Mus musculus: one gene and its partner. The protein of the gene in region 2 interacts with the protein of the main gene of each other region in a biochemical or structural test. Links are inferred from orthologs where the notes say so. Each region holds a gene or a part of one and is shown on either strand. Other genes may lie near its edges. The genes, in order: Sstr5 and Gopc.

Region 1 (2,786 bases), on a different chromosome or scaffold from region 2:
AGCCCAGCACAGACGTGTAAGTGATGAAGGCTGCACCCCACAGTCCCACAGGCTCTGGCCAGCTCAGGTTGCAGGTGCCCCAGCCCTCCTGGACATCCGCAAAGACCAAGAGCGGCAGAGACATGAGCAGCGAGAAGACCCAGACGGCAGCACTAGCCAGCTTGGCTACCCGTGGGCGACGCCACCGGGCTGAGCGGAGAGGGTGGACCACGGCCAGGTAGCGGTCGACACTCATGACCATCAGGCAGAAGATACTGGTGAACTGGTTGATGCCGTCCAGCGTCATGACCAGGCGGCACAAGAAGGAGCCAAAGGGCCAGTAGGAGACAGCATTCTGCGTTGCCAGGAAAGGAAGCCCCAACATAAACAACACGTCAGCCACGGCCAGGTTCAGGATATACACGTTAGTAACTGTCTTCATCTTGGCGTACCGCAACACCACATAGATGACCAGTGTGTTTCCACCCAGTCCCACGGTGCATACCAACAAGTAGAGCACAGGCACTAATACCGCCCGGGCTCCCATGGGTGACACCGGGTCCACTAGTGACCAGTTATGGCTACTGCTGGAAGCAGCTGAGGCATTCCAGCTAGGTGTGGAAGTCAAAGAGAGGGGCTCCATGCTGTCAGGTTCAGGATGCCAGAGCACATGTATCTCTGCAAGAGAAGAGGGTGTCACTAGTGGGCACATTCAGGCATTTCTTCCTCCTGTCGTCCCCAGCCCGCCTGCCAGACGGTGATGGGTAAAAACACCTTTAGTCATGTTCAACTTGACCAGGAATCACATTAAGCAAATTGTTTGGAAAACAAGCTAGAGAGGAAGAAGAAGCCACTGCGGGGACAGGAGGATGGGTGGCTCCAGGAGCCCAGAAGGCCATTATCTGTTGACACTGACACTACAGGGGCTGCCCTGGGACCCACAACCCACGACTTCCCTGGCTTGGCTTCTGTTCTGCTATCCAGCACTCTCTCCAAAACCTCTCAGAGCCCTGAGGGCAGCATTTCAGGAGTGATGTGAGCTCAGAAGATATCACCTCCCCAGGGGTCCCCAAATTATGAGGAGAAGTAGCTGATAGAGAAGGAAGAGGGAGAGATGCCATAGCTGTGGTGAGCCCACTATACCCAATACATGGAGCATCCCAGATCTGTTCTGCTAGTAAGTTCAAGGCTGAACTCTCTCTGGGGCAGGGCCTTCCCTCCTGGAGAGTGTAGGGAATGCTAACCCCAGTAGACAGTTTCTACCCACTGCAGAGTCCGAGGCTCTCAGAAGCAGCAATGACTCTAAAGGTCCCCATATGACATAGTGGCTGGCCCACTTCTCATCCCTGAAGAGACTGGGTTGATGTGCCTGTCCAGGGCAAAGGTCTGTCTCCTGCTCAGCAATGGCAGACATCCTTAAGCCCCAGGCTTAGTGCATAGTACGCAACTGGAAGGTGCCTACAGCAGGGAGGCAAACACATGGAGCAGAAATAACAGCCAATGGGAAGACACTAGGCTGTGGGCATAGCATAGGAGGGGGCACACAGCCCATGGGAAGCAGAGTTGGAACACTGGGCAGGTGCGTGGGCTTTGTGGAGAAGATAGAGAGGCAGGTGTGGGAGGACAGCCTGACAGATGAGTGGCAGGTGCCCACACTTGTGCCCTTGCTTTGTGGTTCTTTGTGCTTGAAGTCTTTCATAAAAACAAAGATGCCCAGGAGGAAATAAATGCCTCCATCACTTGGGAAGAAGGAGAGGGGCAGGGCTGGTCCCTATGGTGGAACCATCATGGAACTGAAGTGTTGGAAGGCCACAGGCCAGGAACAGGCCGTGGAGAGGCAGGAGTCCTCGGCTGAGCCAGGCTGCCCTCAGGAACGCAGGCCTGCTCAGCTGATCTGCAGTGGCCTGAGCCATAGCACACATGAGACACTTCAGTAGCTGTCAGGGCAGGACCTAGTCCTGGGGTGACCAGGATCAAGCAGAAACAACCACCATCTGATGAACAAGGAAAGGCAGGCCAGAGAGAGGGATCCTAGAGTCAGCAGCAGCAGCAAGGAAATGAAGCCAATGAACCAGCGTTCCCAAGACCGCAAGGTGCGTGGATGCTAAGGAGATGACCTGGAAAGCCAAGGGGCAAGTGGCTGGCAGCGGACTAGCCAGGAAAGGGTGAAGCAAAATAAGTTAACTAGCACGCCATGGGCATGTTTCAGTAAGTGCAAGATCTTTGAGTAAAGTATGGATAAAATATTACGAGGAGTGAGGGGTAAAGAGAACAATTCCCACCCCTCCCCACACAAACCTTCAAGTGACAGACTTTGGGCATGAAAAGTGCAGTCATTTAGTGCTGGGAGAGGCGGCTTATCTGGTAAGAGTGCAGATTGTTCTTGCAGAGGACCCAATTTTGATTCCCAGCACTTAGGCAGCTCACAACTGCCCGTAACTCTAGCTCCAGGGGATCTGATACCTCTGGCTGCCATGAACATCTGTATTTACATGTACACAACCACACATAATCAAAAATAAAACAAAAAAAATCTTTTAAAAAACGAAAAATAGGGTCATTTAAATAAATAACTAAGAAAAAGGAAGCCCACAAAACCCACGACTAATTCTAATCTAGATATCTGATAGTGTGGAGGAGAGAATTGGTGAGGTAGACTACACGGAGGGATGTTGAGAAGATGCATACATGGAAGAGACAGGAAGACCAAGCAGGGACCACAAGGATAACGGGGAAGGATGAGACTTCATCTCACAGAGAGGATGCCAGACGCCTCCTCCTGGCCAATCATGTCTCTAGTAGGATTA
Region 2 (3,829 bases):
TAAAACAGACTATCGATCCCAGAGTTGTTTTGACAGTTCCTAACTACCAGATTTCTAACTAATTCAGATGAAACAGTTAAGCCTAAACAATTCCTACCCAATCTATGATACTCTACCCCAGCAGCTGGATTCAGTCTTTGGGTATTTCATGACACAATGATACAAGTCACAGGAGCTACTCAGAACCCATAATAAACCAAAATATTTAATGTGAATGAAAGAGAAAACATTTATTTTCCTTCAAATCTGATCAATACTGCTTTAATGTAGAATATGTCATTTTTATTTACAGGCTAATTAAGAATATGAAACTCAACTAGATATAATACAATTATCATAAATCCCCTTATATGTAAATTAATATATTTTTTGTTTTAAAATATGAAAACAACATAAGCCCCTTGCTGTGGGGTCTATTCCAGCACCATGGACAGGTTATGTTATTTGTAATTGTTTAATTCTAATCAACAGACTTGCAAGCTCTTCATCTCTCTCAAATTTAATTTAACAATAATCCCTAACCCGAATACGTCACTTTCATCATGTTCAGAACAGAAAACTGCAGAAGACAATTTCACACAATAAGTGTGAGTATGTCCACGCACACACCTCTCATGCTCTACACGTTTTCATTGTAATGGCTTTGCAACAGCTTTCCCCCCATTTTTTGGCTTTGTTCAAGAAGAGTCAGTGTTATATGGGCATCTTTCCTATGAACATGAACTATAAAGACTACTTTTCACTTAGTGCTTTGGGACCACACACTCTGAAGTGAACTCTCCAGTGGGCCTGGGAGAGTACCAGGATGCTCTCAGAGCAGGTTTCACGCCACAGCACTCTCCTATGCTTCCAAACCAGAAAGCAGAGATGGAAAGACGGACCTGTAGAACCATAAACTACTCTTTCTAAATATATTCTGTACCCATCTCACACAATCCCTCCTAGGCAGCACATGAAAATGCTCATCCAAGTTTTGCTTTCACATCTGCTGTGAAGTTCTTGAAAAAATTCAAAGGGTTATATAGCTTACATTTCCTAGCGATTCAATCATAGTATATAAGGCATATAATCTATGAATAAAAAGGAAAATAAAATGGCCCTGGTCCTTCCCAGGCAATGCTGAAAGGATATAGGAGCAGCATGGTTTCAGGTCAAAGCAAAAATATTTCAGATCTGTTACCATGAACATTTTTTCCTTAAATGAATACAATGGCTACCACCTACTTTGAAGGTCTCAAGTCATGCACTGGGGTATGTGTTTGGTGTGGGAGGAATACTTGAGGAAAAAACAATCTTTCTTTTAAGAGGTCTAGCCTATCAGGAGCAAACAGTAATATGTAACGTGTTTATTCATTTGTACAGTTAAAATACTAACCTTGTTTACAGGCAATGTTACACTACAAGGTATCTCAGCATCACTAACAATATACATACGAAGTGCACTTTCAGTTACCAGTTAACATGGTGATACTATGAAGAACGAAACCACCCAGAGACCATAAATGAGCAACAGTTAAAAAGAAAATTTATAAATAGCAAAATCACAAAATAAAGTATATACATTTTATAGATTTTAACTTTGAACAAATATATAATGCATCTGGGAAAAACAAGCATACCAAGAAAGAAGATACTGATATTGTAAAAGCCCGATATATGTAGGCTTCTCCCACATAAGATTCCCTTAGGTGTAAATCCTTTAAAACAGTGACTTAGCAAAAATCACACCTCTTTAAGTACAGTATTTTCAGTTTGCCCGGCAGGCAGGGTGCAATTGTCTGTAGGTCAGGAAAGAAGGGAGCAGGCACTCTGTACTTAGTTCTGATACAATAGAACTAATACATTTACAGAGTTTGCACACGAGTATTGCTTTAGTCAAACATATACTGATATAAAAACCAATATGCTCACTGTACCAAAATGTCTTTACCTCATCTTGCCTACCTTGGCCCCCGGCTTTTTAAATGACTGGCAAGTCAGGTACTTAAAGCCAACTGCTGTTTGAACACAATGTATTTCATGACATAGTAATGTTCCTGACTATCACAAGACAAAGCTTGGGAACAGCTCAAAAATGTATAAAGCTGTTTTTCGTGGATTCCAGACAATTAACATTTGGGACTAAACATTAACAGTGTAATGCTCCAATACCATGCACACAGATCAACATAATTGAAAACAGGCCATTTTCCACTTGTCTGCGTTTCCTTTAAAAGTCCAAAGTCAAATGCACAGTAACTTTTCCCAAACTATTCCTAGAGCAGCATTGATTGATACAGGATTGCCTAAAGAAAACCGTTTTGTACTGCAGTTGAGTTACCTGGAGAGTGAACTCATCATAATGATTTAAGATAGTAATTAATTTAGATATCAGGAATGTACAAGATACTTTTTAAAAAAAACCTGAAACAAAATTTTCAATTAAGCAAAAATGTCAACCTAGATTTTTGCAATTCACTGAGTAAAGTTCTGTCATCTGAAATTCCGCAGTTATCCTTAGGGAATATATGGTATCATTTACTCTGCTGTATTTAAAGGGTACTTAGAGAATTCCAGTTAGCACTGTCCTGTTATACATGAAAAGGAGCCAAATGAAATAGCATCCACTTGGCCTGTAAGAGCCTAGTAAAACCCCTTTGGGAAACACATGCTTTGGTGCTTAGATTCCAGGAAAATCAAAACTGCCTTCCATGCAATAGCTAATTAAGGTATACCACAGAAAACAGGGGTTTATGCACTTAGAATTGTTCACATGAAGCCCTGAGGTTCCCGCCTTTCTCTAGGCAACACACAGCCTCCCTGATCTTGTGCAGTCTTTGTCACCGTCTTCTCTAGTGCCCCACACTCCACGAGTCTGACAAGCAGCGTGTCTGGGTTAGTAGGCCTTCTTCTGATGCAGGCTGTGCAGATGAGCCGCTCTCGCAGCAGTGTCATCCAGAGGGCTCTCACCTGCAGCCCCCACGTCCCCATTCTCATGCGCATCCCTCACTGCCTTCTTGTTATACCCTGGGAGACAAGAGCACAAAATACACCGTGTATTTCTGGCCAAAAATATGTCTAAGTTTTACAGTTTTACTAAGAAACAATGTTCAATGAAATTATTAGCAGCAATATAAGGCAAGCTAACCCTGATCAAATCAATAGTGCTTATGGGAATTCTTTCATCTTATAGCAGATAGGAAACATCATATACATTTTTAAAGTATTAACTATTGAAGCTACCTGAAAGTTGTGAAATAAATGCAATCCAGTTTTCTAAAAAACTTAGGGTTGACATACTAACTTATAAAAACCCAATTGTATTTATACAATTATTTACTGAAATACAAATATTTTGCTTCTATATAATTTAACTTCAATTCATTGAAATATATGCTAGTTGACTGCTAAACAATCTGTTGGCAAGATAATGTTTAGCTAGATATTAAAATAAATTTTGGTTAATTTACCTAACATATAATGGGGTTTTAAGTAAATATGACTGACTGAAAACCCCACTAAGAAGGTTAGAAAGATCTGTATTAAACAATAATCAACAGATAGATTTTACCTCAACACTTGAGAGGCTAAGGCAGGAAGATCCTGTGTTCAAAGACAGCATGGTCTACACAATGAGTTCCCGGCCAGCCTAGAAGTCGGAGGAAGATCTAAAACCTACCAAAGGTAAAGTTTTCATTATCTGACGCACTTAATAGTAATATGCTGTATGGCATGCATTTTGGCTGAGTCATATTTCTTTTTTTTGTTGTTGTTTATTTTCGAGACAGAGTTTCTCTGTGTAGCCCTGGCTGTCCTGGAACTCACTCTGTAGACCAGGCTAGTCTCGAAC

The links.
Region 1: the proteins of Gopc (region 2) and Sstr5 form a complex in vitro, tested with the Homo sapiens proteins (2 studies listed by BioGRID and IntAct, with this or other methods). The link is inferred for Mus musculus from reciprocal best matches to the Homo sapiens genes GOPC and SSTR5.

What each region holds. Positions count from the first base shown.
Region 1 is NC_000083.6:25,491,632-25,494,417, forward strand, and holds part of Sstr5 (somatostatin receptor type 5), read right to left. Parts: intron 658-2,786; 5' UTR 623-657; coding exon 1-622.
Region 2 is NC_000076.6:52,336,848-52,340,676, forward strand, and holds the end of Gopc (Golgi-associated PDZ and coiled-coil motif-containing protein), read right to left. Parts: intron 3,007-3,829; coding exon 2,876-3,006; 3' UTR 177-2,875; downstream 1-176.